Neodiprion lecontei: one gene and its partners. The protein of the gene in region 3 binds, or shares a complex with, the protein of the main gene of each other region. Links are inferred from orthologs where the notes say so. Each region holds a gene or a part of one and is shown on either strand. Other genes may lie near its edges. The genes, in order: eukaryotic translation initiation factor 3 subunit F, eukaryotic translation initiation factor 3 subunit D, eukaryotic translation initiation factor 3 subunit I and eukaryotic translation initiation factor 3 subunit B.

Region 1 (6,642 bases), on a different chromosome or scaffold from region 3:
AGTTACCGAACGTTGATGGAGTCTTGACTGATCTTTATCTCTATGCTGATGAGGCTGGAAATCGTGCTATTCCTGTTCCAAAGTTCTTTTGGAAAATCCTTTACAATGAAACAACACAACTTGGCACAGCATTCATTGGCGTCAATAACCCATATCTGACTACAGTCACCAGTGATTATTATATCTGTTCTGACATAAGTTCACAGATTCAATGGCTTACATGGTCAGCTAATTCGGTGCCTCTTGGTATATCTTATGCTTGCACAGTCGATAGTCTCAGAAATGTTGTTGAAACTATTCCCTCATTTACAGTCAAAGGCATTCTTTCTTAAGTACTTCAGTCTTTATTACCAATCAATCGCAAGTGTCGTTGGTCCGAAAAGTGTAATACTAGACAATTTTTCTTACCATTTGTGCTGGAAAGATTTTGTGATATCATAAAAAGATGAATTTTGATCTACTTTATTTCTCCATGATACAGTACTTTTTCGGTATAAGCGGGTCCGCCATAAGCGAATTGACCCTCTGTTCAGCATAAGCGCTTCCCTGACTAAGTTCAATTTATTGGATGTAAACAACTTTGTCGCAGATGCTTCATTATGAGCGAACAAGGGATTGTATGAAATTACATACTTCGTCTTAAATGTGTTGCAACAAACATCCCGATTTCAGTACGAAATTTGCAATTCACTTATAATGAAACCAGGCAAAATTTCTCGGAGTTTTATCATCTTGACTGCCCTAACGTTTGCTTATAGTAGGAAAAAAGTATTTTTAAATGAAAAATGGAATCGTATTCTCCTGCTATGATTAGTGCTATTTGTGTCAGTAAATTATCTGCGCTTCATCAGTTGGCTGACAGGTTAAATTAATGGATATTTTGGAAAGTTAAATCGAATGCTGTTCAGCTTAGCAATTATCAATAATTGTTTGGAGAACCAAGAACAAATCATTATGCGATAATACAGCTAATGAAAAGATCTTTGATATTTGTAACTTTAATCTGATTAAATTTCTGGACACTCACAAAAAATGTTTATCACATATTTTAAATACCCTAGCTATGGAAAACTTACGTAGGATTATTCGCAGTATTTGGTACTCGCAAAATTTTTTGAATTGTTCTAGTTGAATTTGTCATCGTTAATCGAGTTGAATCTTAAGTAAATAAACAAAAAATTGAGAATTCAACAGAAGTGCACTCAATGCGGACTGGTAGTTTCCTCCTTCCTGTCGATTGAATCTAGATTTTCCCTGATCAGGCCTAATGAAGAAGCACGGTACAATTCACAGTAATCAAATTACTGACAACATTAGGTTATACTGAAATTCTGAAAGAGAGTTAGTGGATGATATATGAAAGTGTTTTTACAAACTTACTTACTGGATTAAATCCATAACCAATATCGATATTTCCAGGATTTTAAAATTGCCCTTGTTCTATACAGTCACAAAGAGATATAAAAAAAATACAAGCTCCAAGGCGTGATAATGTGGTTTAACGTATATGCAAGATTTGAAAAGTTTGTAATTTTGGTCGTACAAATATACTATGGTTCAATATTAGCAAATTGTACAAAACATTGTGTGATAAAACAAAACACAAGACGGTTTTCTGCAAACTACGACCTCCGACGTTTGGAAGCTATGGTAGAAATAAGCACAGTTTCAAACGTTCAAGAATCTTCTACTGTGATGTTTTGTAAAATATATGTGTTATGTATATATGTATAAAAAACTAGATTAAGCAATTTAGTTACATCAGTTTGTTTTTACAGATTTTTATTGGAGCCATACATTACTCTTAGCTTTACTTGGTGCTGTTTATTTGGTGAGCTTAGTTTTGGCTCATAAGGTAGTCAGAAGGGTGAGCTTCTCGTTCAGCTGTAGTTGAGTTTTGATTAACTGGGAAAGAGCAACAACCATGAGGAGGTCCTTGACATTGCTGTTAAACATTTGGTCGAACTGATCAGCTGACATTTTAGGTACCGAATGTACCATATCTAACAGGGCTCGCCCAACCTGTAATTTTATGTTATTTTATTCAATTGTTTATTTTCAATACTTGATTGTACAGTACTTGCGAACATGTACAAAGGTCATCCAAATTTCTTGTTATAGAAAGTGAAATATTGCCCAGTACATTTTGAATTATTTTCATTCCTACTGCTATCTACGTCAATTTGTTACCTGATTATCAGCAATTTGTTTGCCTGCCAAAACATCATCTACGTAATTGAGGACTTGGTCTACCAAAGTCAGTAGTTTAGTGCTAGCTTCTGCTATTTGTGCCAGGTCTAACATTGGTTCTACTCCCCCCTGCTTTGAAAGTGCTTGACCCGGAGGTAAAGTTTGTGTTTTAGCGCATAGTTGTAGCCCTACGATCTCAGGTTCATAAGAAGTGACCTGTTGTAAGTAAAAGTACAAGTTATTACCACTCCAAACAGAGCAACTACCAGCAGCTGTACCTGAAAAAGGTGAGACAAGAATTTTTTCGACACCTACTTGGCAGGTTAAATTTTTGAAGCCTATGGGGCATACGTAAAGTGTCCCAATTTTGAACAGTGTGATGAAACTATTTTTGCGCAAATACTAGGGATTTCTTGGGCACACGCGTACTTTCGACCAACTCAATCGTTGCTCAATGCAGTGTCTTGCATTAAGCGTATGTTCTATAATCACAATTTGATATGCTATGAGTGGCTCATTTGGTGCTTCTTAAATCGAACTTCCTTTACAGGTATTGGAAAAATTTGCTTAATCATATTATTACAGTGCTCGCCTTGGCTCATGCTGCATTTGCACTAGTATTCCTGCAACTGCAGCACTCGCCTTTGTTGTTCGGGGTGCAAACTTCACAATTACTCACTTCTAACACAATATAGTATTATAGACTCCAAGAGATGAATAATGAAAATTAGTTTTTTCACAGAAACATAGTACAAGTAAAAATTCATAAAACCTTGACCTATTATTGCTAAATTACTAGTTGCATAAATTTTTTTTTTACCTGAACTCTGACAGGTGTAAACATACAACCCTGCTTGCCATTTGGCACACCCAATTGGACGCATACGTATGCCTTGATACCCATTCTAGTAGTGTTGGCCATTGTTGTGTCCAGAGTTAAATGAACTGGATTATTGCATTCTCGGGCATAATACTCATGGATGACAGATGAGTGATTGGTAACCTGGATCACAAGGAAAAAAACTTGATGAATAAACATATGTTGCTAAAATCAAGAGCATACTTTTCAAGTCTGATTAAATTAGCCAACACATTCACTGTTTGGATATTATTATCATCTTGTAAATATATTTGAGATGGGAAGCAAAGTACCACAACTCTTGACATCTGTACCTCTTTTCCAGTAGCCCACCAACCCACTATGCTTTCTTGGGCATTTACTCGGTGATTTAAGTCGTACAGATCCATTGCGTAGTTCAGCTCGGCTTCGACCTGATCTGCATATTCCTTGTGAGGTACGCAGAAGCAATTTGTTACTTCAACAATGCCCTTCTCCACCGTCCCTATGAAAAATCATGATAAATACGTTCTGTCGAGACAATACCTGAACTTACATGACAATTTGAGTACTAATTGCAAGGAAAAAGTATAGAAATTTTTAGGGAATTCAATTCTTTTTAGATTTCGCTGAAATTTCACATTTGCAGTAGACGTGACGTTAATAAATTATAATGTTTAAAAGGATTGATAATATGGAAACATGTGACATGTAGAAGGTGACGTCCGACGTTCATTCGTCTATCCGCTATCACAATTTCTGAGAAACCGTACGAGTAGTCGAAAGTTTATTCTGTGTTTCTTTGTTACCAAGCAGGGTTCCGATGACACGGTGAGTATCCGCATTACGTCGCTCGTAGGCATCGACTATTTGAAATAAAACAACTGGGTGCACCTTGACAATGAGGTTAAGCGCCATTTTTGGTGCGTCAAAGTTGGTCAAAAGTGGTCAAGAGACGTTGGCTATAATTACAATAACGCTGTTAGATCGTAAACCCAAACACTGAATCCTGCTACCTCTAGTCAATTACAGTTGTGAACTGTTGTGTCTCACTTTTCTCGTTCTCATTTACGTCCGGTGATTAATGTTGTTTTGCCCGCAAAATAGCTGCCCTCATTTGAAACAATACTGAAGTTGTGATGCGAAAATTGCCAAAAAAATGTTTCATCAGCATGGTCAATATTTCTGTATATTGTAAAATAAGTTTTGTTGATCATTACAGATGAAAAAACTGGATTTGGTTTTCATTTCATCAGGGTACCGTTGGTACTGCCTCTCGAGGAATCAACATGAACTCATCGTACCAGATGAAAAAAATGATGACCAATTCCTATCTAGTCTCTTCAATCGTTCATGGCCTGTTCCTTTACCGCCGGTTCAATCACATCTTGGCGCGAGTAGGATCTAACTCCGAGCACCGGGAAACCGTTGATCAACTGTGCATGCGTTTCTTTTATTTTCGGTGATATATTATTGAAGTAGTGAAAACGATTGTTGATTCATTAAATTTATTGCAACGTTTATTGTAGGTCAAAATAGCCAATATGTTTTGGGGTAAGTACCAACAAGTGCCATGTGTTACCCCTGATCTGAGCAGATCTGAGTTGCCGGTTATTTCAAGAATGGCGTCGCCATGTGATCTCCAATAAAGATTATCACAGCGTGCGGGCTAAGAGCTCCATACGCGAGGATGAAATTCCTCGTCTAACGTCATTCCGAATTAAAAAATGACCAATAAATATAACCACCTAAAAGTATGTTAATGTTTGTTTCAGGCTTAATTATAGAGCCGAATAAACGGTACACGCAAACCGTAGAACGGTCGTTTCACGTGTCCATGGCGAGCTTGGACACAAATACTGGAGGTAGGAATCTTCTATTTTTCGTTTCGATACCGAATCCAATATGAATTTTTCAAATTATTATAATCATGCGGTTCTTATTCAAGGCTCGTATACTGGGGTTGTTCAAGTAATGCTTCATTACGAGAATCGGACTTTTCTTTTATGCACACTGAACAAAGGAGCTGCGCTGCAGGTTCCGTTGGATCTCAATTTTCAAGAAGGAACCGAAATAGCCTTTAGTTCCAATGGTAGCGGTCTTGTACATTTGACAGGATATCTAGTACCAGAAGAAGATGACCTAGATGATGAACTAGAAGAAGAAGAAGAAGAGGAGGACATTCCACAGCTCATTGGTAAACCAAGTAAACGCAAGGCCACAGATTCCATTAAACAATCTCAGAATCATTTGAAACGTCTGAAGGAGGAGGGAGAACAACAGTCTTCTGACGAAGGTGATGACGATGATGAACTAGATGAAGAAGATGATGGGAGTGATTCAGATGAACTGCAAAGTGCGCTACTGGACGCGGAAGAGGAGGAGGATGAAGATGATGATGATGATGATGATGACGACGAGGGGGATGAAGAGGAGGAAGAGGAGGAAGTAGTCAAACCCTCATCAACCACAAAGAAACAAAAACAACAAAAGCAGCAGCAGCAACAACAACAACAACAACAACAACCAGCACAAAAACAACAGAATAAAAAGCAAGAAAAGCAGAAATTACTGAACGGCAAAGATGTCAAACAAGATCAGAAACAGCAAGCTAAACAACAAAAGAAAAACAAACTTGAACAGCAAGTCCAAGCTTCAAAGCAGGAACAAAAAAAACGAGTAATTGAAGGTGGTGTACAAATAGAGGATTTAACACTTGGGTCTGGCCCTCCGGCAAAGGCTGGAAAATTTGTTTCAGTTTATTATGTAGGACGGTTTAAAAATGGGAAAAAATTTGATTCATGCAGTCAGGGAGATGGATTCAAGTTCCGTCTAGGGAAAAATGAAGTCATTCAAGGATGGGATATCGGTATTGTAGGAATGAAGACTGGCGGGAAAAGACGCATTACAATCCCACCAGCTTTGGCGTAAGTAACAATTTAGGATTTTTCTGTTCATTGAAACTTGAATGACTTATATTTTACAATATGTATTAGTTCTTGCATTATTCGTGATTTATCTGAACTAAATTGTTCCTGAAATCTTTGAAGACCTTTTAGTGAGCAAATCTCTTACGTCTTACGAGCACAATATTTACGACTGATGACTATTTCCATAACATTAAAACTGATGAGCAATCAAATTATTTATCTTGTTCTAGATATGGAGCAAAAGGTTCACCACCAGCTATTCCACCCAACAGTGTACTTGTGTTTGAAGTTGACCTTAGGAATGTCCACTAGAACTTGGGTATACTCAAGAAAAATGTGGATGAACATTTCAAAAACAATTACTCTTACTATCTCCATGGTGTACCTCATACATTTCCGACATGTCTGGTGATACTTCGTAAACTTTTCAGATATAAAACTTGCATGTACGTTTTATTTTTAATACAATAGTTTTTATTAAATAACTACCATTGTTACAATCGTATTCTGAATCTATTCAAACACGAACGTGATGACAGATTTGATAATATTCAAAACAGTGTAACTTATGACATTACCAATGTAGTTTTCCAAAAATGTGTGAAATCGTATAGCAAATACGGAGATTGATCGATTTTTATTGGCAGTTTTAGGTAGCATAATCGGGTCAAACTTACAATTGGG
Region 2 (6,679 bases), about 38 Mb from region 3:
TTGATCTTGGAGTATGCACCGAAAGGAGAATTATTCAAGGAATTGAAAGCACAACCAAATGAAAGATTTGATGAAGTGAGGTAAGGACCTTGCTACAAATATTCATTTTAATCATCTATTATCCAGATGGTGTTATAGTACATATAGCGATCAATGATGTATAATAGCAATTAAACACCAAAACTGAAATAATTCATCATTTGCAGAACGGCTACTTACATTTCTCAGTTGGCTGATGCGCTCAAGTACTGTCACAGTAAGAAAGTTATTCATAGGGACATTAAGCCTGAAAATTTGTTGCTTGGAAGTAAAGGAGAATTGAAAATTGCTGATTTTGGATGGTCGGTTCACGCACCTGGGTCCAAAAGAGAAACTCTGTGTGGAACTTTAGACTATTTACCACCAGAAATGGTCCTAGGTGCGACACACGACCACACTGTAGATGTATGGGGAGTTGGTGTACTCTGCTATGAATGTCTGGTTGGCAAACCCCCATTTCTCGCTACAACATACAAAGACACCTACAACAAGATCAAAGAAGCTGATTATAGATGTCCTTCCTACGTCAGCGACGGAGCCCGAAATCTCATTTCTCAGGTGAACATGAATGAGATATAATGACAGCACTTTTTAAACCATTAATTCATAATATGTATCATCAAAGCCTTGTTTTCAATTTTAATCTCTTGATTTGCAAAGTTTCACCTTCATTTTTTTCTTTTGTAGCTACTGGTTGTGAATCCTGAACATCGATTATCGTTAGCCGGCATTTTAAACCATCCCTGGATTGTATCTAACCGAACCATGGAACCAACGAAACAATGAGATTTGCAAATAAATAAATTGTGATGCGATGAATCATTCATCTTTTAATTAATATTATTTTGACGGTATAATGTTTAAGTATCAAAGATGCATAATTTAAATTTGAGATATCTAGTTTTCTAGCACACAGTTAGAATTATTAATGCAACTAATTTCAGATTTCAAATTAAAGGTACTTGATCGTTAATTATATGATACATTTTATCATTATATTAATATTGTTACTCCACACGTACATGCGAAGTTGATAAATCATTTGAAAAAATACATGTTCATTCCTAGATAAGGTGCCTGTGTATTGATTAGTTCCTCCCATCTTTAGTGAATAATTTTGTAAGCGGTGAGCCACATGATTGATAAAAATGTTCATTTAGTCTGTTTATGATCTTTTTATTATTTCTTTACGAAACCTTGGCCCTTACAAAGGAATACAAATGATTAAATTCGTACACAGATTACTGAATCGATTCAGACACAATTTAAAGATATTGAATTACAACAGGTTGGTGAAATTGTGGCACAACTATCAGAGACAGATCAAATGATAATTAGTGACAAAGATTTGTTACACTTTCCAATTAACTCTGAAAAGCGTCATTTCCTGGTTCATCATCATCTTCATCCTCTTCACCCTCACTCTCGAAAGTATTGTCGGGAATATCATAAAGCCGAATCATAGGCTTATTCGGATCTTTCATGATCAAGAATTTCCCGTCTTTTTGCTTCATGCAAATATCAATGATGCAACGCAGAATACCCCATGCGTTGTCCATGTTCAGATTAATTTGCGTCGCGAACTCATTCGGCTTGTACTGCTGTGTTCCCAGGATAACGTGCTTACTAGAATCGCGTACCATGGCACGAGAAACGTACCCGAATTTCAACTGATCAGATCCTGCGAGCAGAGCCTGTACCGTCCACTTGGCGAGCTTGCAGGCATTGTTTCTGAGCTCATTAGCCAAAACTGCACCCCGCTGAGTGTCCAATTTCTGTCTCCATTCAACACCATTAGCAAGTTTAGAATCCCACTCGTTCAAGGCCTTGATAGTTAAGAACTGCAGTTCGTTGTTTGGTCCTTGCATGACAGCATCATGTTCGCAACGGCATATGAGCACAACGCCATTATTCAAGTCCCATTTCCTGTAACGGTAAGCAACGCTGGCAACATCACCTTCCTCTTCTTCAGAGATGAACGGATTACCTTCTTCAAACTTGTATCTCGGTTCGTTTGATTTAAGAACTTGCTGGGAGAAGTTGTGGTTGATAAAAGTAGCTTCAAGAGCTAAATTCCGTGGAGAATTGAGAGAATTGCCGTCATCTTGGGGAGGTTCGACACTTGTTTCGTTTACTGTCAAAAGATCGAATTCTGTATTGTCTCTCTTGTCAAAGAACAGCTTGTCTCCAATCTTTTCAATGACAATGTCCCACGAGTAATTGCTGCGGGTGCAGCACATGATTGTAGCCAAAATAGCATCAGTTGCGTATACAGTGCCCTCTGTCTTGGACAATTTACGAATTATCGGGTCGTCCGTAGTCGTGACAGTATGGAATATACGGTCGATACGCTGCAGTGGTTTTTCATTCTTGACGTTAACTCTGTCGTAAGCTTTGTCGTAATACTCCAAAGACCCGCAGCAAAGTATGTCCTCGACATCCTTGACGCCAGGCAAAGAGAGCTTGGTCAATCTTGGGAAGTCCATCTCCTCAATGGTGACCCAGTCAGGCCTGACAGTAACAGAAGCATCACGGATTTTGATCGGTGGCTGATTCTTATGGTTTCTAAAGCCTTGCTGGCGACCCCAGCGCTTGGGCTGTCCCTTTCGATCGCGTTCTCTGAGCTTAATCCTTCCTAGCTGCTGCATCTGACTAACTCCGCCTCGCTGTCCACCACGACCTCTCATGTTACGCTGATTCTGGCGGAATCTACCACGTTGGTACGGAGGCTTCTGCACTCTGGTTGTGTCCACCAAATGGAAAGTAGACTCATCCTCCTCGTGATAATAGGCGTACTGGCTGCCAGAGCCAAACTGAGACGCATATTTGTCTAAATTAGGGCGAACGAATCGTAATTAATTTCAAATAATCGTGGAGGCTAGCCTAGAAAGTAAAGTGTTTCCGAAGACTCAGAATTCACGGTTTCATCATTTATTACTTTCATTTAATTGAATAATACTTCAAACACGAATAAATGGAAAATATCTGTAGATCCGAAAAGGAAATGTTAGGTTAAAGTGAGCAGTGACGTGGTGGCTGTCAACTTACTAGTGAACTTTTTATCCTGAAAGGCGGCTCCGGTCCAGTCCGATATCTGGGAGATAGGGAGGAGAAATGAGTAACAATTTTTGAGTAGTAAATTTCGCGAGGTAAAGCATATGCCGACAAACCTTGCCGAGCCTGTCGCCCTTCGAGAACGGTTGATAGGGTATATCCTTGAATTGATCCGGCATTTCGCACGGACCCCATCCCGTAGAGTTGTTTTGTACAGCCGGTGCGACAAAGTGAGGTACCTTGTCGATCTTCTTCACATCGTCTTCCACCTGTCCGCCTTCCTCGCTCATTATTGCAGACGCGATTTAACCAGGCATGTATGAAAATGGGAACACACGCGAGACAGCCGCGTCTGTTCCGGAAACAGTGTAGCGGCCGGAAGACCGTGCTGTGCCCAAACGATGGTGGCGACGTCGCGGCGTCGTCGGTACGAACCTCTGACGCCGATCGATATGAAATGAGACGATACGTCAAAATCAAAAAGCGGTTACTCGGAGTTTATCACTCGACAATCAAGGCCTCTGGTTAGTGAAAATTATCAAGCAAGCGCATGAAGATGCTTAAGGATCACGAACTCTTCGTACTACTGTGTGAAAAACGCGGCCTCAAACCACCTTCCGATGTCTTAGAAGCTATCAAAAATGCTAGGTAAGTCGCATCTTGTTGCATCCGACACGACGTCGGTAAGTGCCGCTATTTCTCTTACCGGCGGTGACCGCAGCAAGCTTCGGCGCCACGTTTGCATGGAATTAATTCATTTCCAGGTGTTTTAATCGCCAGGTTCGGATTTTCTGGGCCGCTACTCAGCAGGGCCCGCGCCTGAATATATATTTTTTTACTTTTCATGAATTTCAATTGGATAAAAGTACTTTGACGGATCACTTACCAACGATTCAATACTTCACTCGATTACTCGACAAACCGAAATTATCTTATGCCAGCGAAACTTGAATTTCGACTTGAACTTTTCTGTATAATTCTCAATAACCTTTATTCAAATTTTCCTGCTACAGCATTATAACGATTGTCTCGAATCTTCCGACGGTTTGAATATAAACATCAATGGAACCTGACGAACATTCGCGACGAAAATACACTACGCTCCTTATTGCAATAATTATTATTTGAAATAATATATAACCATACTTTTTTTGATTTCAGTGCAACCGGAGAGCTCCAGCTTTCCCGCGTTTCAATACTGGTACCGATCTGCGAAGTAATTGCTCAAGTATTGATGTCTAGTTCAGCAATAAAGCGGATGGACCTGAGCGACTGCATGCTAAATCTGTCGAAGAGTCTCAGTTGTATTTTAAACGCTCTGTGCGAGGGCTCGAACATGACGTCGCTGAATTTGAAAGGAAACAACATCCACGGTCCGACTGTTGCCCAGCTAGGACAAGTACTCGTTCACAACAATACGCTGAAGTTGTTAAACGTCGAATGGAACAGCTTGGGTTCACACGTTGATTCGTTTACCAAATTTTGCGACGGTTTAACTAAAAATCACAACATAGAGGAATTGGATTTACGTTATAATCAGATATCCCCGTATTGCGCCGAGGCGTTGTGCAAAGTTTTGAGATTGAACAAGTCTTTGAAAGTTCTCGACCTCGCGTGGAACACTATCGGTCTTCAGGGAGGGCAGCTCCTCCTAACCGGAATGCAAGAGAACAAAAACATAGTGAAATTAAATCTGCACGGGAATTGTATACCCGCGGATATAGTGCACTTGATAGAAGAGCGAACCCGTAGCAATCAGAGTCGAAGAATGATTTCTGTAACAAGCATGACCAAAGAAATCGAAAAAGCCAAATCGTTTCTGCAGGTGACAGATAATAAAGAGAAGATCGTCTCGTTCACGGACAGCGACAGCACAATTCAGAGCCGTCTGAAATACAGGAGAAAAAAGAAAAAACGCGTCGAATTATTTAAAAAAGAAATTCCCAGCGGCATGACCGATGATTCGATGGAAAAAACTAGTAACGAATCGGACACGAATTCTCTGACAAACCTGCTCGTTCCCGCGGAGGAAAATTTGAAAAGAGATGAGCCACGGAACGATATTTCCGGGGACGATTCCAGGAAGAATAATAAAATATGCTCGAGTTCCGCCGATGCTGCGACGAATAAAATAAAAGAACTCAATCAGATATTGCAGGACCGTACGACCGCGATAAATCTCTTGACGAACGAAGTCGGGGTCAAAGCTGCTGAAATCGAAGCTGTGAGGTCGCAAATCGATCAACTGCGGACAGAACTGGAACGGGTGAAAGAAGAACGCGATAAACTAACCGGTGAAAAAACAAGAGAGATTCTTGACTTAAAGGAAAATCACAAGGAAATTGAGGAGGGTTGGAAAAAGGTTCACAAAGAACTGGAAGATGCGTACCACAAAGCGTTGTTGCATAAAAAAGAATACGAGGTAAGGATCCGCCGGTATGAGAGGGACATACACAGGAGTTCGTTGGAAATATCATCGCTGAAGGAGAAAATCATTTCGATTACACAAACTTACGAGGATCTAGTATTAAAGGATAAAACAGAGATGCACAGACTGAGAAGAGAGATTAAAGAGCGTGAGAGCAGACACAAAAACGAGATAAGCATTGTTAAGAATACCTTGAGAGACACGACGCAAGCTTTAGAAGACTGCCAGATGCAGTTACAAAAGAGTAGGAGCGAACTCAGGGACGTTACGGAATCTCAGTTGACTTTGAAGGCGAAAATCAATGAGATGGAGCACCTAAACGTGAGGTACTCACGGTCAGAGGAGTCCTTACATAGAGTTAAAGAAGAGAAAGAAAATCTGGAGGAAAAGATAGAGGAAAGCCAACGCACAGTGAGCAGTTTACAGCGTCAAGTCGTCGCACTTCAAAGCGAACTCGTCGAGCCTCAACGACGGTATGAATTGCTCAACGATGAGCTGATCCAAGAGAAGGAAAAGACCAGTAGACTTAAAGAGGAATTGGCGGAAGAACGGGAACGGGCCAAGGAACAAAGTATTCAAATTCAAAAAATGACCTTGCAGATAACTGCCTTGAACACGCAAATCAATGACATACGATCTAGTCACGCGGACACGCTCAGGGAAAGAGATAAGGAAAGAACACAGCTCAAAGATATCATTGCCATGAAGGAACGCGAGATTAACGATCTAAAGTCAGTACCACCTTGATCACCTCTGAATATTATCGACAAAGTCAGTCGTGCTCATCGCACACCACAATTGTCTGAGCAAAAATTAACATGAATACTCAACGTTAATTAATCATACATGCTAATATCAATACGCAATTAAACCCTTGACTGTCGGTGACACACGCATGGGCAAAAAAAGGTCGTGCCACTTTTGTGGCATGGCACATATTTGGGCATTCGAATAAACAACATGTTTTTACTACATCGATTTCATTTCAAAGTCGCTGAATTATAGGATAAATCCATGACGTTTTATTTCCAACACACAAGTGGCACGAAAATCTCATTTTCGCCTGACTCCTAAGGGGTTAATTGCAACCTAGAAGATAATAGTGTAGAAATTAGAATTTAGCATTTTTACAGTGTACCTTTACCTTGAATCTATTTT
Region 3 (7,738 bases):
AATTTAAAATTCTCAATATCAGTTGAAAATATTAAGCTTGACTTTTGATACACTCAGAAAGAAACAAACCCAATATTCTTAGGTGCAAATTTATATTCTATGTAATGTTAGGGTGTGACTGAACCGAATAGAAAAACTGTTCATAGTTTCAACATCAACTGATCGCTACAGCATTTAATCACCACGATTCATATTTGGATACAAACAACAATTCAATCTAGTCTCCAAGCAGTCAAACCCTGTTATGATCCTGACACAATATATTTCCTAAACGATCAAGTAACCAATGCTCTACCTGTCGCAATACAAGTACACATTTTTGATAAACTGGTTGTAAATTCCTAAGGGGATGTGAAAACTCGAGTTTGTAGATCAGGTGTCACATTCTTGACAGTACCTTGTCTTATGTTCAGTTTGTCTTCAGCAGCTCTCAATTTTTCTTCGAAACGATCTAAGTCGCCTACCGTCATTAGGTGTGTAACGTTTCCAATCTTACGGCCTTTAATTACAGCGTCTGGGTGTAAGATTATAATTACCATGTCTATTTGAGGTCGAAGTATCAACTCTTTCACTTCACCTTTGGAGAGCATGTGATGGAGAAAATCATTCCAGGACACGTACACAATCTGCTAGACAAGTTATTCAAGTTATGTGCTTCAGGTTTTACATATTTAGCATTTTCATATACATTACATATCTCGTATAATGACAAGGTTCAGACTGGTAACATTAACATAATAAAACATTCTGAACAAAATAGCTGTTTTCCAACTTCAGATTGACTTTGAAGGACATGAGTTTTCAAAATATGTATTTTTTCCTTTACTATGCTTCACGAAATTCCAGACAAATGTAAAATCGTAAATTTATATTTTTGTCATAAGAGTGCATTGTTACATTAATGCTACAAACCTTGTCATTGTATAAACAGGGTCGTTCGTGACTATTGTCCCATAGGCTGCCAAGCAACAATGTATTCCTTGTTAAAATCGATAACTAAAAATTGGGTTGCAATGCTAAGAAATTCTTCGGTTTCGAATAAAAGCCATTCGATCAACCAACTTGGTAGCATCAGAATTGATTACCACACACAGGGATGATAAACCGGGATACTACGCAGCGTAGTGATGAAATAACGATCCACCAGTCCCGTTCTGGGTCATTAAAAGCTTCCAGATTGGTCAATTTCAAACAGCTGTAATTCGCGTATAGAAAATTTTTTATAGAAATGCAATAGACGTTTCAGTTGCAGATTGCTACGAGAAATACGTTGGTAGTTTATAAGACTGTACTCCAGGACCACCCTGTAGTTTCGGCAAGAATTGAACCATGGGATCTGCATATACACTCACCTCCCGTTGACTATTATTCGGTGTTAGCATGGTCACCAAGCTGACAATCAGCCAGAAAAATGTAAGCCACATTAAATACTTGGGAACAAGACCAGAAACTTTTTCATTGTCATTTTTATTCGGATTATCTCCTGAGCTTTGAGATGAGGGCTCTCCAGCACGGCCGCCACTCGCCGCCTTATTGCTATTGTTCGTACCTGTGGTACAGAAGCATCTGGCATTATAAAAGCAGCGTAGTTTTGAATCACTATCGAATCCGCTGCGTCGTAACACGGTATAAATGGCGCATACCTCCTTATGCATTCGCATACGCATTTGACCCTAAAAAATAATTACAGTCATTTCATCGTTCTCCCACATCCTCAAATATTGCATCTTAAAAGAATTGCTGAATACTGAATTTGATCTATTTATTTCTCATAACTATCGATATGAGACTAGGAAAATACAAGTCGGGCATATTATATGATTTTCTTACCTGAAACGACAGGCATTGTGAGATTCGAAGGGCGCGATTCAGGACTAGTCTGAAATTAGGTCTACTCAGTACCGACTCGTATTTTCCCGCAACAGTTGACGCCAACTTAAAAATGTCATTCACCGAAGGTAAATATCGTTTCGGACATTTAATAACGCGCTGCATATTCTCCAATTTAGTTTTACAATCACTGTGACCACGAGTATGCTATGCAATGCATGAGAATAGGTTAGGGCCCGGATTGTAATCGAACACGGGCATACATATATTTATGTTACATAAAGGACAAAACTACAACAGACACTTGATCACGCGCGACGAATCTTTTAATATTTCACAAATGAGAAAGTGATTGATAATCCGCTTATACGACTCCTTACGTAAATCTCAAGATAAACTTTATTTTAAGAAACATTCTCATATTTGTGGCTATGCTGAAGCCCGAATAATCCGCAGACGACAAACCATTTGAAGGATATCAATCTGGGGTGTATTCCGAAATCACGGTCTTAAATACAGGTCTTGCAACGAAGGTAGTGGGGGTGGCTCATTTCACGGGCGCTGATTTATCTCACTTTGCGGTCGCCAGGCCGGCGTTGTGATCGAGGGATGGATAATCAACGCGTGCGCAATGCAGCGCCAACCTAATAATTATATTATTATTGTTGTTATTACAAGTAATGAATTGTTATGAATGAAAGTAGTTAATATAAATATTAGTGTGATATAATTATTATGAATGATATATGTATGGAGACTAGAGGCAAAGAGTATCATTACAGTATGACGCACGCGCTGATTTTAGGTTATATGCTTCATTTCAAATATAATTTCCATGGCACATTTTCATCCCTACCCCACGTACATCCCTAGATAACAGCGCCGCGACATGGTTATTTCGAACACTTAAAACACGGACAACAAGAGAACCACGCCGCTCTGTAAAAAATTGGCTTCGTTGCAAGACCTGTATGTAAGACCGTGCCCAGGCCGCAGTAGTCGCAGTCAACAACGTCACAAATTTCATGACGTCACTGACTGGCGGCAGTAAGCTGTCGCGCGATTTCAGAATGCAGTTGCCAGTACTTGCAGTACTGCGGGTATATTTCGGAATACACCCATAGGCCTCCTTACCTCTACCCTCCATAAAGTCAACGTATTAGATTGTTCACAGCTTCGAATTAAGGGCACAAGCTGCACGAAGTTTTGCGACGGTTTCAGCATTCATCAAGAATAGTTGAGCAATATGAGGACTTTTATAACGAAAGAGTTTCCATCTACCCAATGAGGTCGGCCATCTTCTACAATATCTAGCCAATGCTGGGTCATTTCGTTGACGGTTTGTGGCTCTACTCATCTCTTTCTGCCGTTCGGCCAGGGCGCGTGTGAGACGTTCAGCTGGTGCACTAGTCGATTTTGTGGCAATTTTGGAGCGCTGATGCGATATTAGTTTAGATAAAATGGTAAGTTTCTGTTCTTAAAATAAATCTGTTCTATCATTATGCCAGATCATACCTCCCCTACGCGTGCACACACATAAACACGTGTGAAAATTTGCCTTCCCGTGCCTAACCTCAAGTTGACACTGCAAGATATCGATTCAAGTACCTATATATCTTCGGTCAACGTTAGAGGAGGCTTCTTGTGAAATGATGTGTGTTTCATATCAGACGTGGTTATATTGAATGTGTCTTTTCGAATCTTCGGATTCCATTGTTTGTGATTGCATTGTGTTTTAGAAACCTCTCATGCTTCATGGGCATGAACGTGCCATTACCAAGATCAAGTACAACAGGGAGGGTGACCTCTTGTTCTCTGCAAGTAAGGACAAGAAGCCTAATGTCTGGTACTCCCTCAATGGAGAACGCCTTGGAACTTTCAACGGTCATAATGGTTCTGTATGGTGCATCGACGTTAATTGGGATACTACTAGATTCTTATCTGGAAGTGGTGACAATACTTTATGTGTATGGGATTGTCAGACTGGTTAGTTACCTCTTATCGTTCTATTCCAACAGACTCGTACCATATCTATATGATGAAGGTGATGTGAAACTGGTCATTGCTGGATTTGTAGTATTCTAACCAGTGAAAGTATTTGAATTTTATCCTAGAGGAGCTGCGATAATTTTGTCGATCTCTGTCTGTTGGAAAACTAATACACTTGCAAATTTAAGATGTTACTGAACCTAGCAGGTGATAACTGCGAGCATCATGAACAAATCAATAATATATAATCAAATATCCTTTATAATCTGTTGAATTGATACAATGATTTGAGACATGAATGTGAAATTTTTCCAATTTCTTTGTCTGACTTAGTTTTACCTACTAATTCCGGCAACATGAAGTCGAGCAAATTGGTTTAATTAATCTAAAACATGTAAACTTATGCTATTTTGAGATAGGTTGAATTTCACGCAACAACGATTCTCTGTATTTTTCTCGATTCAGGAAAAGTTGTTGGTCAATTGGAAACAAATAGTTCGGTGAGGACATGTAGCTTTAGTTATTCCGGGAATCTTGCTGTCTATTCAACCGATAAAGCTTTGGGATACCAATGTGAAATGTTCATTATCGATGCACGAGACGTCGTTTCCAAATCATCACAAGAGAATGCCATACGACGAATACCTATCAACGGCCCCCGAATCTCTGCTATTCTTTGGGGTGCTCTTGATGAAACCATCATCACTGGGCATGAAGATGGTGAGATTAATCTCTGGGATATGAGGGTGAGTTGTGATTCACATGACACAAATATTAATCTTGAATTAAATTACAATTCCTCAGTTTACTTTATTTGTAATATATTCACAGACTGGGAAAAAACTTAATTCTATTAAAAGTCACAAGAATCAGATCAACGATATGCAAACCAATAAGGATGGGACCATGTTTGTGACAGCATGTAAGGATCATACGGCCAAATTGTTTGATAGCGAATCTCTGGTGTGCTTGAAAACTTATAAAACCGAGAGACCGGTCAATTCCGCAACAATATCCCCAATTTTGGATCATGTGAGTACGCAATTTTATATAATGTCTTGAGCAGGTGCAGCAGCATTTTAATACTTTCCTGAATATTGTACAAGATTAAACATTTTTTATAATACCCGAAAAGTAACGATATTACCATTCTGACACTTGAGAGAAGGTCGGAGCACTCCCTTTTTTTCTGCTAACTTTAGGGGAATAGTTTACGATTGTTGACAAGTGTGTCGACAACATAGGTGACATTAAATAAGGTGGTGCAAGCCACTTACAAATGAGATTGTGATAATACCTCAATTCCTTCTGTATCGATGCAGTACTTTTGCTTCAGTTGCGAGCATACTTAGCAAAGTGTTGTCCCGATCGTAGCTACTTAGAAATTGCATACCTTATGTCTAAGTAGCACTAACTGGTGATCTTATTTTTTTGGCCCTACTAAAACTTGACACTGACTACAGAACATTCTGCCTTTTAGTACACTTCTATGTGTGGACTAAGGTATGCACAGTATTCCTATGTTATATTACAAAAAAATGCAAAAATGTACATATTATGTACACCCAGTGAAGTCGATTTGGAATCCCTCTAATTTTAGCAGCTCAAATATAAGGTTGGCAGCTCTAGTGCCCAACTTACGCCTATTAAATAACATGCGGTATCTGTTGGATGAACCGTAGCAATTAGTTAGAAGCTGCCAGAGCCAACCCTATTTCTGACCCGCTTAAACCAGGAGGTTCAGAATCGACTTCACTAGTGTGTAAGATTCAAATTTTAAATGTCGTTCAATTGAATATACTCCTGATTTGTCGTTTGACTTGTCAGCGATTTTGGGAATGAAATAAAATTTTTATTAAAATTAAACGATTGGAAATTTGATGCCATGCAGCTTGGACAATTTTCTACTCAAAATGCAACTCTTTGGTTACAAACTGAAAAAAAAATCGTTCACGTAATATCCAAATTTAGGAGGCGTGGTTAATTTTTTTATTATATACTACTCACTAAACATCCATTACAAATGACTTGATCAAGTTATAACAATTCGTATTTAGTGAGTTGGCAGAAAAAGCAAACTCCCTGTAAATATGCAAATTTGTAGAAAAATGACTGACTGATTCTTTTTATGTGAAATTGTCGGCAAGACATGTAAAATTACATCCGTACGTAGTGTGGTTGTGTAAAATGCGAATGTAACAGATCGTACCTATATCCATTTTCAGGTGGTACTGGGTGGTGGCCAGGATGCCATGGACGTGACCACGACATCGGCTCGTCATGGAAAATTTGATTCACGATTTTTCCATTTGGTATTTGAGGAAGAATTCGCTCGACTCAAAGGCCATTTTGGCCCTATCAATTCTTTAGCCTTTCATCCTAATGGACGGAGTTATTCTACAGGCGGAGAAGATGGATATATTCGTATCAATACATTTGACCAATCTTACTTCGATTTTCATTTTGAATATTAATCAATAATTGTACTACCATTGTACTAATATATATCGAATCTAAAAATTTTACACAGCACGTGCTCTTCATTTATTCCGCGTAATGTTTCCTCAATATTTCGAATCATTTTTCGGAAAGATAAAAACCATGAAGGAGGATGTGAGACGTTTCCAAGGAAATGCCTGTATCAAGTTATCGGTGTCAGATATGTTGCTTAATTTTTCTGTACGTACCAAATTGTCATATTGCATGAATTTTTTTTTTCGTTTGCTTGCATCTGATACACTGACAGATTAAAATTCGTTAATTTTGCATGTCACATATCTGTATACCTATGTGAAATTTCAAGGAATAAGGATACAATGGTAAAGTGGAAAATGAAATTGGCAACAATTGCAACATAAAATACGGTTTTAATATCTATGTTAGTATGATTTATTATTGAAAGTAAAAATCGTCTCGTAGAAAATATGGCTGATGATTATTGTATAAAAAATATTGGACAGAAGGTAACTTCGGAATTTATCACTATTCTCAAATAAGGATACATACCTATGAGAAGTAGAAACCATCATATATACCAAGTATAACTATATGCCAAAAATAAAAAGATGAAGAAAATATAGCGCAAGAATCAAATATGAATTTTCATATCACTGGTTTGGTCTGAAGTCCTAATTTATTTTGCTCTCAATAACATTTCAATATCGTTCCTGATTTGAATGCCGACAATGGATTCCCTTCACTTATTTATCATAGCAAACTAAAAACTTGGCAATATTTTTCAAGGTTGAGTGTCCCATGATAATAGCACTTCTATGTATACGTAGATGTATTTGAAATTTAATTTATTGTAGCCCAGTCTTTTGGTTGAAGCTTGGGCCTAAACTTGACTGATACTCGGTAGCGTAATCAGTGAGAAAAACATTTGCATCAGGATTGGACTGATTTACTCAGTTTATACCTATGCTCAAAGTATAAAAAACAAAAACGAGTAGACTTGACAAACACAATACAACTTATTATTACGCATAATTCATTATCAAATCGGTAGGCCTTATTTGGAAGTTTGGCGACCTCAAATGGTCTGTGTGGTATGCAAATATCAAACTACTTGTTTGAGGTAGGGTAGCTGGCAAGTAACATTGAAAGTATTTCAGCTTATAGTTTGTACCGGAAATTAGTTTTGACCAAATATTGTACTTGAACTTGGGCCACATCATATACAATATATTCGTTGTACAAAAGAGAAGTTGACTTTGAAAGCTTAGCTGGTACTGGCTTTCCGTATGGCACCTGAACTCCATCACTTGTAATGTGAAAATCGTCTGGGTCTGGTTGAGTCTGACCCAGACCCAATGTAGAATGTTTACCTTTTGGTAATTTTTCAACGTAATCCGCTGCGTGTCGCTCATAGGTATTGCCCAGAGCTACCTCGCACAGTAGCAACAATCCAGTCGGATTT
Region 4 (9,247 bases), on a different chromosome or scaffold from region 3:
GTCTTTAAATCATTACGCAGCGTTAAATACTATCTCATATACGAAGCATCCATTTCATCTCGTTCAAAATTAGCGCATCCGTGATGTATTACAGTTACTCTGAATTTTTTTCCATCCGAATACTTTTCGAAAAACAATTTTGCTTCTCTACCCAACGTAGATACTTCACTCTCGACTAGCTAGAACAGCGTTTTGGTTATATGCCTACGAAAATTCAAGATCGAGAGAGCAAATGAAATGTTGTTGAAATAATTAGGAATACTAATGTTATGGAATACATCGAGCGCGCGTCGAATAGAATCCCATTTCGAAGTGAATAATTCTTCTCTTTTCATATAATAGCTAATCTAGTAATATAGGTAAATAGGATGGTTGCAGGTGTTCGGAAATGGTAGGACATTTCAAAAGTTAAGGCTGAAACCCACTGCACCGCGGCGGACCGCGGCGCAGTTACCGTGAGATGCGCCCACTATAGTCGCGTGACCACCCGCCGATACTGTTTCTACGAAAAAGAGATATTTATCAATTATCTGATGACCACGATTTGTCTCAGTCGTCATGGGCACACAATAAATAATCATGCATATTTGCCACTACTTTTTGATTACTCATTATGGATAGCTCAGATGAAGAAGTGTTTAACACGAAAAAAAATTACTAACAATTGTCCATCATAAATTCGATAAAAAGGAAAAAAGGATTAAAAATCAACCGACAATGCTCATCTTTCGCCAGAATTTTTGTTTCTACCTAAACTATTTCGGGTGTGGCTCGTTGGAAAATCGTAAATTTTTTTATTTTGAAACACCCTATTATACATATAATATATGTATAGTAAAAATGAAATAAATTTTAGCTCAAAATATACTCTCTCATTTCTTATGCATAAAAATTAATTTCCACTTGGACTAAGCAACTCGGAGAAATTGCAGCGAAAAATCACTCCTGGTATTAGGAGAACATCTGAGCCGAGGAGCTCGATCAAAGGCACGCCTTATTCCTGAAAGCCCGTGTCGCATACGTATAAGCGTGGTTGCCTATGATTAGGCGCTTCCACTTGAACTGAGCAACACGGAGAAATTGCAGCGAAAAATTACTCCTGGTATTAGGAGAACATCTGAGCCGAGGAGCTTGATCAAAGGCACGCCTTATTCCTGAAAGCCCGTGTCGCATACGTATAAGCGTGGTTGCCTATGATTAGGCGCTACCACTTGGACTAAGCAACTCGGAGAAATTGCAGCGAAAAATTACTCCTGGTATTAGGAGAACATCTCAGCCGAGGAGCTTGATCAAAGGCACGCCTTATTCCTGAAAGCCCGTGTCGCATACGTATAAACGTGGTTGCCAATGATTAGGCGCTACCACTTGGACTAAGCAACTCGGAGAAATTGCAGCCAAAAATTACTCCTGGTATCAGGAGAACATCTGAGCCGAGGAGCTTGATCGAAGGCGCGCCTTATGCTTGAAAGCCCGTGTCACATACGTACCGTTCTGGTTGCCTATGATTAGGCGCTCCCACTTGGTTCAATTAGATCGGAGAAATAGCAGCGAAAAATTACTCCTGGTATTAGGAGAACATCTGAGCCGAGGAGCCTGATCGAAGGCACGCCTTACGCCTGATGGCCGTGTCGCGTACATGTAAGTTTGGTTGCCTATAATTAGGCGCTTCCCTTTGGACTAAGCAAATACACTAGAAGGCTATTATTTTCCTTTTTTATTTTCATCATTATTCTTATGATTGTATAATACATAGAGATCTAAGGATCATTGAGCTATAACATAATATATAATACATAAACTTTAAAATCAAGACCTTTTTCTCAACTTATGTACCTCCAAACTATACATTATGCATAATAATTAATACATTCGTTAGCATATATGTAGATATATAGTAAGAACATAACTTTACACATTTTCGTCTTTATGACTCTTTCTGTATGTTATTGCTTTTCGAAGATTCCCGTTCCATATAATAGCAACCGATGCTTGTTATAATAGTAAAGTTGATAATAATTTGAACAGAATGGATATTATGCCAAGAAGAAAAAGAACAAATATATGATTTCTGTTTTGAAAAATCATCTGCAGAATTCTATACACAGTGGAAAACCAACAATTGATGAAATATAAAAACCCCAGATTAAATGCATGACGCGTATTTTTTCAACAACCAAACTGCCGGCAAGAGCATCTGCACAAAAACCAGTCTTTTTTAAATATAATTAACCTACTATAAATAAATAAACTAAACCTACCTTCCGAAGGCAATTCCGCTGATTCGCAAGTGTGAGCTGTGAGGAAAGGAATGGGGTTTCAGTTTTGACGCAGTCACAGATTCCTCGTCGTGATGATTCCCTTACTTCGTCTTCGACGATACTCTATAGAAAAGTATTCATAAAACAATGTTCGATTTCAAATGGCTTTCCGAAAGGGTATTATTAGATAAATAAAAATAGTCTGTGTGACTTAAAAAAAATGGACAGTGTGACAATCATTGTAGCAGTTACAAGTATTACAGACTATTCTATAAGGTATGTGATAGAATTTGATTGTACTACGTTTGCCGCGTTCTTTACGTGGTGTAAAATCATCGAGGAAAAATGACACGATGATACAGAAATAATAAAATACAAATTCTACGCAATTGCTATAATAGTTAAAGACCATCAATGATGCTTTATAATGGAAATGATGCCACTTGCAGCGTGGTTCACCTCCGTTCCAGAGTTAGTAGGTACAATACACCATGAAATCCAACAATTTAACGGTCTTACACAGAGGTTTCCAAGTCTGGCAAGACCAAATTATTTCAATTCTTAGGATACTTTCTTAGTCGATGACGAATGTCTCTTCTTTGATGAAAAACTCGATCGATTCCTCCTCAACATTCTTCGTATCTGAGTCCAGCTCATCCGTGTCGATATCTAGAAGGAAAAACACGAAATTAATACGTCATTCAATATAGGAAAATACTAGCAGATCAATATAAATTATTTTCCATCTTTACTTTTGACTACGGTAATACATACTGTTGCGTAGTTCAAGGCGACGCTTCTTTTGGCTGTTCCATTCTTCGATACGTTTTGATCGATATTCTTCGAATTCTTTCATCAGTGTACAACGCTTTTCGATCAATTCCTGGAAAAAGAAAGGTAGAAATCATTTCAAGGATATGGGTAGTTTTTAAATGTCACAATAGAAAAAAAGAACTATACGAATAAATGTAAAGTCACTATTTGATCACAAATATTCCGTATCGGAATAGGAAAATATTACCTTCGAGGCGCGAGTTAGTCTCATGCGATCTTTGCTTTCGAATTGTGCCGAATACTTCTTCAGATTTTTTTGAATTTCCTTGATTTGCTTGGCGGTCAAAAGCGTCGCTGGCCTTGGACGCCATAGAAGCTGATTGAACGCAGTCAAATTAACTCTCTTCAAAATACGACCTTGGAACGACCAAATCCAATATCCGTTGTCGACGCTTGTCTTCCAGCTCGACACTCCAGTCACAACGTATCTAAAAGCAGCCGTATTTCATTTTTGATTGGGGTCATTTAGTCACGTCCTTTTAGTTCTATGCTTCATTTCTAAGCTTACTTTAAAACTAAATTTTGCCAAAGTAAAGAGATTGAAGTAAACTTCACAATCAGTAAAAGATCTTTGATTTAACAGTGATACGAATAATAATAATAATAAGAATTCTACTAAATAACATGTAACGAAAACGAAGCCCGCATTAAATACATAACGAGAGAATAAATAAAAAGAATGATAAAGAATAAACGAAGCTAAATACCGTCCGGTAGGATCCCACTCAACGTCAGAGGTCTGGTAGTGATCAGTGGTGTTCATTATAGTAAAATCGTTGGTATCAATAAACTCCAAGGCACCAGCCATGGTGGTAAGACCAGCAAGTACAATGAACTGGCCAGCAGGAGACCAGAACAGGTGATTGCACGCCTTCTTCTCGAGTTTCTCTAAACAAGAGTTAGAAAAAATTAAAAACTTTGCCTTTTAATTCTAAGACATCAGTAAAAGTCATTACAAGACTGAAGAACACATGTTTGTTCTATGAACTGATATACATATCTTCAGAGATGTACAACACACTTTTTCGTCTTATTTAGTTGGATATAATTACTTTTCTGAAATATTGAAACTGGATTGAAAAGCTTACTGAGAAGATCAGGATGCAGTCCAGGGCGTACTCCATAGAAGCTGACGTTTACGCTGGGTATTTCACCGTGAATGATAGCGAATTTGCTACCCACTGGTTCCCAGGCGAATGCGTGAATCGGTTCCTTCATTTCAACGCTATCAACCGGTATCTGCTTCTCTCGCATGTGGAATATCTCAAAGTTGTACGACATTCCCTGAAAATAAATCAAATGGAGAAATTAAATACCGATGCTATACTATAATTTAGGCAACTGGGAGGAGTTGAACGAGCTTTTACTACTTGCGATACTTACAGTGTATTTTTGTTCAGTTTTTTCTTTCCTCTTCGCAAAACGATCCACCTTGACACAGAGGTAGTCACCACATTTTTGCCAGTGAATTTTACAGTCGGCGACATTGAATAGATTTTTGTTACGAATTTCGTTGCGGCTGTAACGGGAAAAAGAGAAACACTCATGAACTCCGCGAATCGGTATAGGAACAAAACATAAGTTCTTTGGTTGTTAACCAACAAATGGAAGCAGCATTTCAATTCTGACTATGAACTCTGTGCTGTACCTGGGAATTTCCAAAAGTGTGACTCTGGCTGGGACATCTTTATCTTCCGGCACCCAGTAGGCTAGAACATTATCAGTGGGCGACCAGCTGAAGTCTCTGATTCCTGGTATCTTGATGCTCTTTTTGTTGAGTAGTCGAAATGACTAAAAAATCGAATAAATGCAAATGCTTAAAAGCGAATAGACCATAGTTGAACATCCGCACGAAACAAAATTGACCATCTGATGAAAAAAAATCTAACATTGGTATGCAAAAGGATAAAAAAAAAAAAAAAAAATAGTAGAAAAAAAACTTACAGGAGTTTCGTAGATGCTGAGTACATCTTCGCCCATGCGAGCGAGATATTTGTCGTCGTGTGACCAGCGGAAAATGGGCCACACCGAGGACCCGTCAGGATTAAAATCCCGTTTTTCTTGACCGGAGAGAATATCCCAGACAACAAGCCGCTTCTGATCAACGCTGCTCTCAGCCCTGGGTGAATATGAGACAAGATAACGTTCGCAAGGTGAAAAGTCAACGCACTCAACTCCGCGTTGACCAAACTTTGCCGTCTGCTCGAACTTCGGACCACCCCACAACGCGACTCCTGGCTTGTGGAAAGTAGCTATGTACGTGCCCAATGGAGACCACTTGACGTATGTATCTGTCCATCGCTGAAAAGGTTTAGAAAAGGGGAATACACCATGTTTATTTCGACTTGCACATTAATCTAGTCAAACTGTGAAAAACTGTTACCGGTCGGTCTTCCAGCAGCGTCGGTTCAGGTGCAGAATTTTGCCATATCTGAACACAAACCGCCATTCCATTGCCAGAGAGAACGCAGAATTGGTCGTACGCATCAGGATCAAGGAGATAGTAGTGAAGGTCACCACTCGATGTATACGGCTGGGGCTTTGGCGGTTCCCACTCATCCGGTGTATCCTCAAACTTTTTGAAATCCGTGAACAAATTCACCTTAAATGTGTGCATCTTGTCGAGCTTGTAATTGTTTGTCGACTTGACAGCAGCTAATGCGTTCACCGGACTTTTGTATTCCAAGAATATGTACCTGTGATACCAGTGTTAATTAACAAAACAACCAAAGTAGTGAAAAATTGAAGCTTCGTACTAATAATTACAAAACAAGTGACAAGTTGTTTCTGTTTTTCTGCTAGGTTAGCATTGTTGAATTAAAATTTATGGTCTTATGATCTTTACCCTTTGGTCAAGCCATCTTCGTTCTTGGGATACCACTGGTTGACAATGTCTCCAAACTTTTCAAACAGCTTGCTGATCACCATTTGGAGTTTTTCTAAACGCTCGGGTCCAACTTGCGGAACACCGTCGACGACAATGACAGCTTCAACCCCATCGGTCTCAGACGGTTTCTGCCTAATGAGCTCGCCAAGTAGTTCTAGGAAAAGGAATAAAAGATTAATAGAAATATAGCAGACCCGATTTAGAATTAAAAGGCGAATCGGAGATTGGTGTCGAGTAATATTCAGAGACTGTTATGAATGCAAAATGGTATCTTGAATGGGTGCCAATACAAAATTTGGAAGGTTAATTGACGCTCAAGTACAGAGTTGAACCGTGTCACGTATAAAGGAAAAATATCACGCCAAAGTTCGGAGGTTAAAATGCTAAAACCGGCGAATAAATTGAAAAAGCTATTGAGACTGTACGGAAGATTGTCGAGATCCCGAGACGGGATGGTTAGATTTAGGAGACGGTGTGCATATGTGATAACTTTCGTGCCACGCCATGCTACCTATGCCATGCCGTGACCGAGCCCCGAGGGGTGATAGGGATGACACGAGTGACGCGCATGTGAAATGTAAGAGTAGAAATACCTTCGTCGGTTACATCGTCGACGAATCCCTCGGGATCGCTGAAGTTTGGCTCGTTATCCCCGTTGATATTCTCATCGTCGTTTTTACCTGGATCATCGTTATGCGGCGTTTTATCCGCCTCCCGTTTCTTTGCCATCTTGGAAACCTCTTACTAAAGCAAACTGAAGCGTCTGAAAGTGGCCGCAGAAGACGTATATCAACGCTTCCGTCTGACTGATTCGATCTATCGCAACTCAACTGCGCACATGCGATATATCGAATGAAGCGATTCAACTCGATGCTTTTGCTAACACCTTCGAGTCGTCTGCTTTATCCACCCAATAGAATCAACCAGCCTGTAGATAGGCAATTTCTATTACATTTTGTGATCCACATCAACGTTGATATTTAACATAATTTTCTGTCTTATCAGTTACAATGCTAAAGCGGAGTTTATTTGACTTTCTGTACATTCGTCACAAAAAATTCTACTTTGAAATAATTCATTGAATTTATTACATCGCCGGAAAATTTACCCTTAATTCATTCAATTAAGTAGTATGTTTTCTTTATTTTTCATTGCACGGGGAAACGTTTTAATTGTACACTCAATTTTTATGGATTTCAAGCATTGTGAATAGTGTGAATAGTCAATTGAAATAAGGATAGAAATAGGAACGGATCTGTCGAATTATTGTGAAAAAAGGCAGAAAATCATTTCACAGTTGTAAATGCGACAATTTAATACATATAACACATTCTAACGAAGAAGTTAAACTAGAGGACCTTGTATTATCGGAAAATGTGTCTTCGGACTATGGAATTTTGAATACATCACTTTAGCGACTGCACGTGATTGGTGATGTGAAAAGTGTCAAGTGTGAGAGTATATTATCTATACATAAAAAACGTAATTGTTCAGTGTATCGCATTCCAACAGTTGCCGAAAACATTTCCGTACAATAGCTAACTAATTTCATTTACAAATATTTCTACATTTATTACACAGTTCAAAATATTCTCTACACTGTCTGCCCATGTTTTTTAAACCTATTCGCAGTAAAATATACACCGTGAAAGAATCGTTTCTTCTTTTGATTGCCTCAACTTTTTTAACTTGTCAAGTTATGTACCGAAAATCGAATCATTGTCGTGATAAGAATGAAATAATTTTTATTTCGTATTGATACAGACGGGGAGTAGAAGATATGAATCTACTCGGTAAACATTTGAGAAATAATTTTCCAGAATTATTCCCAGCCAATTACAAAGTAGCGCCAAGGAGATTCTTAAATATTTCGTAGAGTTGTTCGAAAAAAAAAGATTGGTTAGTTTGTTACTTCAGTTCCGTTCGTTGAGCGGCAGCCGATTGAGTTCCAGCGTAAAGGCGACGATGTCGGGATTCTTGGACGAAGTAGATATACCCAGAAAAGAACTTTCAATCAACGATACATTGTTTGCGATTAGTTTGCTGATCCACTAATAAATCTGAAAACAACGATACTTTTCAACCCCAAACAGTTTTCAACGTGTTTGCGGTTCAACGGAAATGTTTGGCTCATGAACATAAAACTTGGACTTAGAAGAACCAGAAACAATTAACTGCATATCTGATGTTAATGACAGTGAAACTTTCGTAATTCCAGGTGTATCAACGATGTCCAAGAGAAGAGTCGTGGCTAACAATCATAACAATCAGGAACATCTTGTAGAAGTGTCAAAATACATCCATGGTCCAGAGTTACCAAGTGTAAGTGAACGGCATGGACTCGAGGACAATGTTGACATGGATATGTCGCGGGTTAAAAAAGGAGTATTTGGTTGCCTGGTACAAACGGGGGTACAGTCACAAAGTCAATATTCATTTGGGATGCTCTCCTCTGCGGGACATGATCCATAATTTCCAGTGAGTCAAAGTGGAAGTCCAAGTGGTCGATCTTCCAAGTTTTCGCCAAACATCTGTAAAAATTTATTTAAGGGTGAAATAATTGTATACCTATTAAACGTGTCTGCATCGAAACTTTACAGAAAAATCGAAAAGGATAGTTCCGATAAAATAAATAGAATTTTATGAACTACATTATTTGTCTGAGTCTGTAATCAAAAATTTTCAAATCCGCGAAAATCTATCTTACAGAATTTCAAAATTCAGAAGGCTAGAATGCAGATAACTCAAAATATAGTCTACATTCGAAAACAGATTTTTGCGAATTTGAAAATTCGCTATTGCAAGCCTTCTATTTTCTAATCTTTGTAAATTTTCATTTTTACCTTATGAAATTGTTATTTGCATACGCAACAATAGAGCAAAAACTGGCAATAAAAAAAAATCTTAGGAAAGGAGTTTCTTCAGTTCCAGTGTTCAGTTAGATTAATTCTAAACTCTGATAATGTTTTCTAAAATCTAAGGGTAAAAAAGTAAAAGTGACAAAATCCAAAAGAACATGACTAAAAACGATCTCATAGGCAAAAAAATAACTAAAAGTTGATATAGTGACGCAATAGCAGCCCAGTTAAGTTCCAGTATGACCTGTTAATACGTGCAGAAAGACATTACAAATTGCATTTCCATAAGGCAGTTAAATGTTTGGTACTTTGTAAATAGCACACATATGCTACTTGTGTCATATGATTACCGGGTTTTGAGTTTAAATCGAATCAACTCGGGTGTATTTAATTCATGAATAAATATTTGA

Evidence for each region.
Region 1: eukaryotic translation initiation factor 3 subunit I (region 3) and eukaryotic translation initiation factor 3 subunit F share a complex: the UniProt entries of both Drosophila melanogaster proteins name them as parts of the eukaryotic translation initiation factor 3 (eIF-3) complex. The link is inferred for Neodiprion lecontei from reciprocal best matches to the Drosophila melanogaster genes eIF3i and eIF3f1.
Region 2: eukaryotic translation initiation factor 3 subunit I (region 3) and eukaryotic translation initiation factor 3 subunit D share a complex: the UniProt entries of both Drosophila melanogaster proteins name them as parts of the eukaryotic translation initiation factor 3 (eIF-3) complex. The link is inferred for Neodiprion lecontei from reciprocal best matches to the Drosophila melanogaster genes eIF3i and eIF3d1.
Region 4: eukaryotic translation initiation factor 3 subunit I (region 3) and eukaryotic translation initiation factor 3 subunit B share a complex: the UniProt entries of both Drosophila melanogaster proteins name them as parts of the eukaryotic translation initiation factor 3 (eIF-3) complex. The link is inferred for Neodiprion lecontei from reciprocal best matches to the Drosophila melanogaster genes eIF3i and eIF3b.

What each region holds. Positions count from the first base shown.
Region 1 is NC_060265.1:19,771,649-19,778,290, forward strand, and holds eukaryotic translation initiation factor 3 subunit F, read right to left. Parts: upstream 3,999-6,642; 5' UTR 3,947-3,998; coding exon 3,838-3,946; intron 3,534-3,837; coding exon 3,364-3,533; intron 3,194-3,363; coding exon 3,011-3,193; intron 2,407-3,010; coding exon 2,191-2,406; intron 2,023-2,190; coding exon 1,849-2,022; 3' UTR 1,766-1,848; downstream 1-1,765. Other genes in the region: uncharacterized protein LOC107226989, read left to right, coding at 1-332; 46 kDa FK506-binding nuclear protein, read left to right, coding at 4,573-4,582, 4,804-4,893, 4,977-5,955, 6,189-6,270. UniProt on the Drosophila melanogaster protein: Component of the eukaryotic translation initiation factor 3 (eIF-3) complex, which is involved in protein synthesis of a specialized repertoire of mRNAs and, together with other initiation factors, stimulates binding of mRNA and methionyl-tRNAi to the 40S ribosome.
Region 2 is NC_060261.1:37,935,195-37,941,873, forward strand, and holds eukaryotic translation initiation factor 3 subunit D, read right to left. Parts: upstream 3,486-6,679; 5' UTR 3,384-3,485; coding exon 3,210-3,383; intron 3,134-3,209; coding exon 3,088-3,133; intron 2,870-3,087; coding exon 1,404-2,869; 3' UTR 1,195-1,403; downstream 1-1,194. Other genes in the region: aurora kinase C, read left to right, coding at 1-80, 207-597, 727-825; leucine-rich repeat-containing protein 45-like, read left to right, coding at 3,644-3,741, 4,255-6,252. UniProt on the Drosophila melanogaster protein: mRNA cap-binding component of the eukaryotic translation initiation factor 3 (eIF-3) complex, which is involved in protein synthesis of a specialized repertoire of mRNAs and, together with other initiation factors, stimulates binding of mRNA and methionyl-tRNAi to the 40S ribosome.
Region 3 is NC_060261.1:376,093-383,830, reverse strand, and holds eukaryotic translation initiation factor 3 subunit I, read left to right. Parts: upstream 1-2,895; 5' UTR 2,896-3,290; coding exon 3,291-3,293; intron 3,294-3,569; coding exon 3,570-3,816; intron 3,817-4,284; coding exon 4,285-4,565; intron 4,566-4,650; coding exon 4,651-4,851; intron 4,852-6,044; coding exon 6,045-6,293; 3' UTR 6,294-6,344; downstream 6,345-7,738. Other genes in the region: poly [ADP-ribose] polymerase, read right to left, coding at 398-629, 1,353-1,673, 1,831-2,037, 7,438-7,738. UniProt on the Drosophila melanogaster protein: Component of the eukaryotic translation initiation factor 3 (eIF-3) complex, which is involved in protein synthesis of a specialized repertoire of mRNAs and, together with other initiation factors, stimulates binding of mRNA and methionyl-tRNAi to the 40S ribosome.
Region 4 is NC_060266.1:1,378,760-1,388,006, forward strand, and holds eukaryotic translation initiation factor 3 subunit B, read right to left. Parts: upstream 6,768-9,247; 5' UTR 6,709-6,767; coding exon 6,573-6,708; intron 6,134-6,572; coding exon 5,938-6,133; intron 5,789-5,937; coding exon 5,476-5,788; intron 5,394-5,475; coding exon 5,037-5,393; intron 4,884-5,036; coding exon 4,741-4,883; intron 4,612-4,740; coding exon 4,476-4,611; intron 4,377-4,475; coding exon 4,181-4,376; intron 3,981-4,180; coding exon 3,800-3,980; intron 3,521-3,799; coding exon 3,280-3,520; intron 3,142-3,279; coding exon 3,033-3,141; intron 2,928-3,032; coding exon 2,833-2,927; exon of another isoform or gene 2,638-2,832; intron 2,382-2,637; 3' UTR 1,700-2,381; downstream 1-1,699. UniProt on the Drosophila melanogaster protein: RNA-binding component of the eukaryotic translation initiation factor 3 (eIF-3) complex, which is involved in protein synthesis of a specialized repertoire of mRNAs and, together with other initiation factors, stimulates binding of mRNA and methionyl-tRNAi to the 40S ribosome.